3 linked regions of the Nothobranchius furzeri genome follow. The protein of the gene in region 2 purifies or fractionates together with the protein of the main gene of each other region. This does not show direct contact. Links are inferred from orthologs where the notes say so. Each region holds a gene or a part of one and is shown on either strand. Other genes may lie near its edges. The genes, in order: nod1, sugt1 and rnf41.

Evidence for each region.
Region 1: the proteins of sugt1 (region 2) and nod1 purify together in Homo sapiens (affinity purification with western blotting; 3 studies listed by BioGRID and IntAct, with this or other methods). This does not show direct contact. The link is inferred for Nothobranchius furzeri from reciprocal best matches to the Homo sapiens genes SUGT1 and NOD1.
Region 3: the proteins of sugt1 (region 2) and rnf41 purify together in Homo sapiens (affinity purification with mass spectrometry; 3 studies listed by BioGRID and IntAct, with this or other methods). This does not show direct contact. The link is inferred for Nothobranchius furzeri from reciprocal best matches to the Homo sapiens genes SUGT1 and RNF41.

The regions. Positions count from the first base shown.
Region 1 is NC_091745.1:81,042,864-81,045,191, forward strand, and holds part of nod1 (nucleotide-binding oligomerization domain-containing protein 1), read left to right. Parts: coding exon 1-1,203; intron 1,204-1,609; coding exon 1,610-1,711; intron 1,712-2,197; coding exon 2,198-2,281; intron 2,282-2,328. UniProt on the Homo sapiens protein: Pattern recognition receptor (PRR) that detects bacterial peptidoglycan fragments and other danger signals and thus participates in both innate and adaptive immune responses.
Region 2 is NC_091751.1:64,261,215-64,264,057, reverse strand, and holds the end of sugt1 (protein SGT1 homolog), read left to right. Parts: intron 1-1,567; coding exon 1,568-1,669; 3' UTR 1,670-2,186; downstream 2,187-2,843. UniProt on the Homo sapiens protein: May play a role in ubiquitination and subsequent proteasomal degradation of target proteins.
Region 3 is NC_091755.1:37,149,442-37,153,794, forward strand, and holds the start of rnf41 (E3 ubiquitin-protein ligase NRDP1), read right to left. Parts: upstream 2,886-4,353; 5' UTR 2,761-2,885; intron 2,042-2,760; 5' UTR 1,946-2,041; intron 1-1,945. Other genes in the region: uncharacterized protein, read left to right, coding at 3,779-4,353. UniProt on the Homo sapiens protein: Acts as E3 ubiquitin-protein ligase and regulates the degradation of target proteins. Polyubiquitinates MYD88. Negatively regulates MYD88-dependent production of pro-inflammatory cytokines.

The sequences.
Region 1 (2,328 bases), on a different chromosome or scaffold from region 2:
GGTGCTGACCACCCGAATGGGAATAGAGATGCAAAGTCGGGTAATCAGGAAGAAAGTGGTGCTGCGTGGGTTTTCCCCGGATCACCTGAAGGCGTATATGAGCCTGCACTTTAAGGAGCAGGAGCACCGGGAGCTGGTGTCGGTGCAGCTGGAGGCCAGCCCCCACCTCTGCGGCCTGTGCTCCACTCCGCTCTTCTGCTGGATTGTGTTCAAGAGCTTTACACACCTGCACACCGTGCACGATGGTTTCCATCTGCCGGACACCTGCGTCACGCTAACGGACATCTTCCTGCTGCTGTCTGAGGTGTTCCTCAGCCGCTTGGCCTCCCCCACGCCTTCTCTGCTGAAGAAAAGCTCTCGCTGCACCTCGGAGACCTTCCAAGCAGGCCTCAGGCCTCTGGCAGCGTTTGCCAAGCTGGCCCTGCAGGGTTTGGAGAGGGGGAGTTTCCTGTGCAGCCTAGAGGAGATCCGTGAGAGTGGTCTGACGGAGGAGGACATGGCCCTGGGTTTCCTCAGACCTGCCAGTGACTGTGACTCCAGTGGAGGTTCTGCTACCCTTGAGTTCCTCCACATCACCCTACAGGCGTTCCTGGCTGCACTAGCTCTGGTGTTGGATGAGCACGCCCCAGCCAGGTCCATCCTCAGGTTCTTCATCGAGTGCAGCAGGAGAAAACCGTCCTGTCTGCCGTTCACCCTCTGCAACGGCAGCTCTGTGAGTCTCGGCCAAAGGAAACCATTTGAGAAGAACGAGCACCTCCAGTTCGTGAATCTGTTTGTGTGTGGGCTGCTGTCGAAGGCTCTCGCGGGTCTGATGGGCCATCTGGTGTCTCCCGCCGTGTTAAAGAAGAAACGAGCCTTGTTGAAGTCTTACCTGTCCACTAGTGTCAAGTCTCACCTGCAGGGCTTGCCCACCTTTGAGGGAAACGAGGGCAAGAAGGTTCATGTTTTGCCCAACTTCCTGTGGATAATCAGGTGCATCTACGAGACGGGCAGCGAGCACATCGCCCGGACGACGGCTAAAGGCATCACAGCCAGCTTCATTAAGCTGGGCTACTGCAACGTGTACTCGGGGGACTGCACCGCCATAAACTTTGTTCTGCAGCACCGCCAGAAGCTGCTGGGCCTGGACATGGACAACAACAACATCGGTGACTACGGTGTCAATCAGCTCCGGCCATCCATTAGCAAGATGACCGTAGTCCGGTAAGAATGGCTTTCCATCAGTTCATTTATGGCTGGGTCTTTTATTGTGAAGGGGTTTTAAAGGAAGTGATGTTCCTGATGGGAGGAAGTGTTGCCATTCTAGTTTATAGGAGCTGAAACGTGAGTCAGGCACGTTTCTGCTGCAGCCGCCATGTTGGCATCAGCTGCTACGAGTGAGACGGGCCGTTCTCTGGCCAGAACGTCTTCCAGAACGAGGTTCTGTTTCAGAGCACCGACCCGCTCACTGGTGCTGCAGATGTTAGACCAGAGGTGCTGGTGGAGCCTTGGCTCCTGGCTGGGTGCTCCACCTCTATACGGGGACAGGCTGGGGTCCTGCAGGTGTGCTGAGACACCAGACAGCTCTGGATTATTTCAGCCCTAATCTGTGTTTGAATCGTAACCATAGCAACTCTCCTGGATCCAGATTGTGTGTGAACAACCTGTCAGACCGCAGCGTGGAGGTGCTGGCAGAGGAGCTGTGCAGGCACAGGGTCATCAGGGTCCTGGGGTGAGTGAACACGAGATGCACACTATCAGGTACACCTGCTCAGCTCCTTCCTCAGACATCTAATCAGCCAATCAGACGGCAGCATTTATCCATCTACAATCGATGAGGGAGAGAGGAGATTTAAGGGAGTTTGAGCGTGAGTGACATGGTTGTTGGTAACAATCTGGTCAACTGGGATTAGAACCCACAACCATCTCTAGGGTCAGAGCTCAGATCGGTTCTGTGACTGGGAACTGAACACAGACATGTACATGTAGACGCCCCATGGACCGGCAGGCCGCCATCTTAGATGGGTCTCCATTCACATTGCTGTGGAGAGTGAGACCTATCCAACATGGTGGCAACGCTGTTACGCTCTCCAGTGCCCAATGGGGCGTCTACATATCCATGTCTGGTTCTGAAGGTAAGGAGTACCTGTGAGGATTAGTAACTGTATCTGATTACTTTGGGAGGTAGCCAAAGCAGTGAAGGTGGTTTGTGTTGCAGGCTCTACAACAACAACATCAGTGACACTGGAGCTCAGCTGGTCGCTCGCGTCATTGAAGAGTGTCCCAGACTGGAGGTCCTCAAGTAAGTTCAGGCGTGGGGTCATGATGGCGACGGGATGTTTGTCTGAC
Region 2 (2,843 bases):
ATCATACCATCCGACCATTCAAAGGTGTTTTTTAGACCGATTGATCAAGATGGGACACCTGAATGTTTCTCCTCACAAAAGCACTGCTAGAACATTGAACACTGGTTATATTGGCTGTAACAGCCATGAAAATATAAACGATTAGACGATGAGATGCGCAGCGCTCTGATCCGTGAGCTCCAGCAGTCATCTGCTAGCTGCTAACAACACCGTAAGACTTTCATAACCAGGGAAATCCCTGGTGTGTCAAATGTCACATCTACCGCTTTTCTCACAGCCACGGACATTTTTTCCCTTTAAACACAATTTTTATAGGCATAAACATCAGTATATGATGTCTGGTTAGCGGTAGCTTGTTCAAACAGCGGCCAGCCCCGGACTCTTGATTGTTTTTTTCTCGCCTAGTCCCGCCTGTTCAATTTGCTTGATGTATTTTAACCCCCACCCTCCCATTTTGTCCATTTTATGAATGGATTTTTGTTTCTGTCATTTTTTGTTGTCGTCTCTTATTCGTCATCAAAAAGTACAACGACAGAACCCCAGCTTTGATGAGACTGGTGTTGACTCAGGTTTGTGAGTCTTATTTGACAATATTTGTTGTGCTGCTGGTTTGCCTAAAGTTAGCTTACTATCAGGTAAAGTTGTTGGAGAAAGAAAGGGAATATTTATTATCATCTCACACTAAACACTAACAGGAACAATACTCTGCCCTGAATATGCTTCATATGTAGCTTCAGATTAAAAATTATGTGGTACAAGACATATATGATGTTGTTGACTAGTGCGTGTCACATGTGTGTGTGTGTGTGTGTGTGTGTTAAGCCCGGGATCTTCTTCAGTCCTAAATCCGCCCCTGCCAGGGACAACCCTCTTCACCAACTGTATTGCATTACCATTTTCCCCTGTTACCATTTACAAACAAGCTTTCATGTTTCTGCTAGAATAACAGCTAAATTCCTAAAAAATACCGTTGCACATGTTGAAATAAAACTGGAGTTTGGAGCCGTGTTAAGATCACAGACTAGCAAATGCTTGTCTTTCTAATAGGATATGAACTCTCATCAGGAAGAAGCCTCGTAACGGTTAGATGGTCTTTTTAACAGAAACACACCCAACCTTTAATAGGAGGAGACATCATTGCAAACAGGTCTCTAGGCTGTGAGGGTTGAGAGAGAGAGAGAGAGAGAGAGAGAGAGAGAGAGAGAGAGAGAGAGAGAGAGAGAGAGAGAGAGAGAGAGAGAGAGAGAGAGAGAGAGAGAGAGAGAGAGAGAGAGAGAGAGAGAGAGAGAGAGAGAGAGAGAGAGAGAGAGAGAGAGAGAGAGAGAGAGAGAGAGAGAGAGAGAGAGAGAGAGAGAGAGAGAGAGAGAGAGAGAGAGAGAGAGAGAGAGAGAGAGAGAGAGAGAGAGAGAGAGAGAGAGAGAGAGAGAGAGAGAGAGAGAGAGAGAGAGAGAGAGAGAGAGAGAGAGAGAGAGAGAGAGAGAGAGAGAGAGAGAGAGAGAGAGAGAGAGAGAGAGAGAGAGAGAGAGAGAGAGAGAGATTCCTTCATGTATTTTCCCTCCCTTTACAGATGGAGTCTGGTGGTACGGTTCTCAGCACCAACTGGGGCGATGTGGGCCGGAGAACGGTGGAGGTCAGTCCTCCAGATGATGCAGAGTTCAAGAAGTACTGAGCACCTCTCTTCCTCCTCCTGTTTGTTTCTTCCTCCCCTTTTTAAAATCATGCGATGACCCCGCTGAGTTCCCTGGGAGCTGCAGTCGGCCTGGCGGTCCTCTTCTCCTTGTTGTGATGGCATTCAGAAGCCATTCTACCAGCGCACACCTGGCCTACTCTCCTCTAGAAGTCATCACCAGAGGGGTCAGTTTTAGATCATCTCTTGAACTAATTGATCTGGTTTAAAGGCCAATGCATCCAAAAGGGAGGTAACATGACCAACAGACCTGAAAAGCCTCCATCCAACCTGCAGACGAATAATCTTTGTTCGTTTTTGTCCTTCAAACAGCAACATGTGAAGCCTTTCATCATTTTTCATAATCAGCCCGTTGTAAAAATGTAAAGTTGCTCAGAAGAAGGAACGCAACAATTTTTCTGTAAACAGCGGGACTTAGAAACCTTCTGCTCTGGCTACCTGTCATTTTCACTTGTGACGTTAACTCCACTGTAAATAAAAGATTTGGTTCTAAAACGGCGCCCTGTGTGTTGTGGTTTGTTGTGTCTGGGGACGGTTTTGGAAGTCTCCAAACAAGATGGCTCAGACACAAGCGGGGCTGCATTAATACGGGGAGCTGTGATTATGACCCGGGAGCCATAGAATGTGCCTTCACTGATAGGGGAGCAGGAGGCTGATGCGGCCGACAGCTGGAGGAAATGGTTTACTTATTGCTTGGTGATCGGTATCGAGAGGAAGGGCCCTGGAGATGTTTGGCCAGCTGTAGAGGGGAGTAGTGATGATCTACAGCTGATGTGGAGCCACCCTATTCTCCTGACACACACACACACACACTGTACACGAGGCAGCTGTAAGTGTGAGGGGGTGTCCTGCAGAGGCAAGAGAGCATTAATATGGATCAGCCTCCCTAACCACATCATCAAGCCTCTCACACTGAGTTAAGTGTTAAATTCATCACACACCGTTTCATCTCTGCTGATGATCAAACACTCATTTGGGTCTCTGGATGGAGCTCTTAGCTCCGTGACACGTCCACACACACACCCACACCCCGTCAGCATCCCTGACACACACAAACACACCGGCCCCATCCTCACCCCCTACCCCCGCTCGAGGCGGCTCTGCCACATCAAAAGCAGCTAAGCACTTTGCATCGTGGGTAAGATCTTGGAGCGTG
Region 3 (4,353 bases), on a different chromosome or scaffold from region 2:
TAGTAGGTATATTAGCTGTTTTAATGTAATTAAAAATTTCTTTGTCAACAAAATAATGTAAAGGAGGAATGTGATTGTCCCAAATCGTATTGTAATGGATGACCCAGATGCCTTTCAGAAAGCAGAAATGGAGATACTTGGCAATGCTTGTACTGCAACCTGATGAGCAAATGTTTCTATTATCACTCTAGCCATTTTTACAAAACAATGCCATTAATTTGCCGCAATGCCGTGGCAGCATCAGGGAGCCTTAGGTTGTTCATAAGTGGTCAGACTGTGGCGGTAATGTGGTGCAATCGTGTCCTTTTTATAAGATTAAGGCGGTGTGTATTGTAAAAGGGCTTCTGAGATGCTGAATTATTTAATCTCACCCCCCCCCCCCAAACCGAAAGTATTTTACACAGATTTCAACACAAGAAGGTGACATGTTTCATCATGTTGTTTATTATGAAGAGGAAGAAAATATCATTTCGATAGCGCTTCTCAAGATAAAAATCACGAGGCGCTTCACAAAAACAAAAAATGAAAAAATATAAAAAAGAATTTAGAAAATGGTTAAAAATATATTTTAAATGAGCAAAAAAAATGGGCAATTGTAATTAAAAAATGTTAAGAAAGAGAGAGAGTGAACAGGAAAGAGGGAAATCAGTGGATCCTGAGGAAGGTGGAATAGGTGGGGAGAGCAGAACAAAAAGAGAGAGGTGAAGAAGGTCATACAAAAGCCAGCTTGAACAGGTGAGTCTTCAGCTGCTTTTTAAAGGAGACCACTGAGTCCACTGATCTCAGGCTCAGGGGGAGAGAGTTCCAGAGTCTGGGGGCCACAGCAGCAAATGATCTGTCACCTTTGGTCTTTAGTCTGGTGCTGCACAACCAGTAGGCTTTGATCACCGGACCTCAGGGACCTGCTGGGGGTGTAGGGACTAAGAAGATCACCAATGTAAGATGGTGCTTGTCCATGTAAGGCCCTATAGACCAGAACCAGGATCTTGAAATGAACCCTGAAGTTGACTGGCAGCCAGTGAAGCTGGAGGAGAAGCGGAGTGATGTGGGTGTGTTTGGAGGACTTGGTCAGAAGCCGAGCACAGGCATTCCGAACCACCTGTAGACGGTTCAGGGAGGTTCTGCTCAGACACGTGAAAAGAGAGTTACAGTAGTCTAAGCATGAGGAGATGAAGGAGTGGAGAACTGTCTCAAGTTCAGAGCGGGACAGAATGGGACTCAGCTTAGCAACGTTCCTGAGATGGAAGAAGGAAGAGCAAACAAGAGAAATGACATGAGAATCCAGGGTGAGAGCTGGGTCAAAGGTCACGCCAAGATTCCTGACAGAAGGTTTGGTGTGGGAAGCAAGCTGACCAAGAGAGTCTCTGACTTTGGGAACCAGCTTGTCTGGGGCACAGATGAGGATCTCAGTCTTATCTTCATTCAGCTGAAGAAAGCTCCCAGCCATCCAGGTTTTGATAGAGTCTAAGCAGGTGTGTAACAGCTGCAGCTTAGACATCTCATGGGGCTTAAAGGAGATGTACAGTTGGATGTCATCTGCATAAAGATGGTAGGATATTCCTTTGAAGGAGCTCAGGATGTGCTGAAGAGGAAGCAGATAGAGGAGGAAGAGCAGAGAACCTTGTGGGACACCATGGGTAAGGGTGGTGGTGAAGGACCTAAACTTGGAGACGGCCATAGAAAAGGAGTGCTCAGAAAGATAATGTAATATAGTACAGTAACTAATTCTTTAGCTCACTGTTTGTATATATGTGTGTGTGGTTGTTTTTTTACATTTACATTTATACACTTGCTACGCTACTAAATACCAGTACTGTGAAACAAACCTGGCTAAAACTAAGATGAGAAGGGTTTTTTACACTATCTATGAATAATTACTATCAAAAAATGATTGACATTTTGTCAAAATAATAATTTACAGTTCTGGTTAGAACATCTTGTTTACCTCAAACACAAACTGCCTCAAATATTTCCATTCAGCTCCTCGATTCCTCACATCTGGCAGAAATGCTCTGCCTGCCTAAAAAGACACAGACCCTGCCTGAATAAAAAGGAAAAAATTATTGCATTTAAAAAAAAACTTTTAGTCTGATGATTGTAAACCACATATGCAAGAACATTAAATCCCATATCACGTATACACAATGTACTCAAATGAGTTTAACTAGCTGAAATCTGAGATTAAGTACTTTCTAAAAAAATTTACCATACCGACAGTTTTTTTGGAGGATAAAGAATTTGAACTTTAAATTGAGCGTAGCCATTTTCATACATATTCACATCCTCAGGCTGACTTTTCAACGTGATTTTACAATAAACATATTTATCTACTGTCCTGGTTAACAAATGAATGATTCCAAAAAATGAAAAGAAACAGCTTTGAGATCAACATGTTTCCATCATATTTCAGAGCAAGGAGCACAAAACTTAGCTGAGCATCGAGGTTTCTCAATGTTATCTTCACGCATATAATAACACTTTAAACTAAATCGTAAAAACTTGATTTTTAATAACGTAAACATGCGTCAAAGAGAAAAATATCTTAATGGTTTACAAAGTACAGCAGCACAGTTTGACTGTCACGATTTCTGAATATGTAACGTTAGCTAGCCCAGCTAGCGGCTACGCTGTCGTTGGTTTCCTTTGGACATTAGCTATAAGCTAACCAGACTGACCTCCGTTAGAGACAACTTCACACACCAATAGCTGTTTACAGTCAGCTGCACTGCTCAAGATATAACAGCTGACTGATATACTTACTCAGACATTGAGTAAAATAGATCCTTTTCACAATTCAGGCTGTTTTCAGACGTCGTACCAACACTAGCCCCTTGCTAATCACGTCTTGGTGCTACGTCATACAAGTCTACGTCTCAATCGACACGAGGGGAAACGTCATCACGCAAAACTGCAGAAATCCCAAAAGTGAATTTTATAATGAAAAATGTCTCTCTTACCGAAACAATGTTAATCACTAACACTGTCGAAAATGTCCTTATCCGGTTAAAACTTTCATAACGGACTGCTGTTTCTTTGTACATTCTTTTTTTAATTGTCTGTTTGTTAATCAGTTTTGGGTAAATAATTGTATAAACATTAATCCGGACTTCAAGTTATAATGGAGAAATGTGTTATTTGGGTTCCTCAGAAATGACATTGAGATTAAAAAAACACATTAATATTATAATAATGTAAGCTAAATGCCATGTTGAAAAGTTTGTTTGTTTTCAAGAGCTCAGACAATACATTTCCTCCATTATGATTTCATCCAATAAAAAAGCCTCAAATGGATCAATTTTGTGAAATAATTGTTAAGCATCAGTCTAATGTGCTCTGTTATGCTCTGTTATGTTATGCATCTGTGTAAATTTGTAAATAAGAATGTGTGTGTGTGTATATACATGTATGCTTTTATACTGAAAAGTACCTGTAGAGGAAGTTAAACTTTGACCTCGTAAATTGACCAATAAAAGGGAGCATTGGTGTTTTAGTGGCCGCAATCAGTGTGTGCTACCACCAGTGAAGGCCCGTGAAACAGACGCTCTGTTTATGGATTTATTTCCTCCTTTTTTTAATCCTGGAGATTCATTTTGGAGTCTTGGACCAACCGCTGGGTAAACGAAACTCTGCTAACAGGTTATGGGCCCAGCACGCTTCCGCTGCGCACCAAGCTAATCAGGACAGCTGGGAAAGCATCCTGCTAGCGTGTGAGGAGCACAGAACCGACCAACAGCAAGTCCGGTGAGTCGAGTGAGAGCTACGACGTGTGTCGGACACTATGAGTCGGAAGACAGTGGAAGCCAGTACCCGCTGGTCAAGACTGGTATTTGACGGAGACGAGGATAAATATGAACTGTGGGAAACAAAGTTTCTCGGACACCTCCGGCTACAAGGTTTGAAAGACATTATATTAAAACCGAAAGACGATGACGATGATGAGGAATATGATTCAAAGAACGCAGAGGCATATGCCGAACTTATACAATTCCTGGATGATAAGAGCCTTTCACTGGTGATGAGAGACGCAGCTGACGACGGGCGGAAAGCTCTAATTATCTTGAGAGAACACTATGCCGGGAAGGGAAAACCCCGCATAATAAGCTTATATACAGAACTGACTGCATTACAGCAGAAGAGCGGCGAGAGTGTAACGGATTATGTTTTGAGAGCCGAGGCCGCCATTACAGCGCTGAGAACCGCAGGTGAAACTTTGAGCGATGGACTGCTAATAGCAATGGTTTTAAAAGGTCTACCTGACTCATTTACGCCTTTTAGAATCCATGTGACACAAAGTGATGATGACATGACTTTTTCAGAATTTAAAAGTAAACTGAGAAGTTATGAAGAAACTGA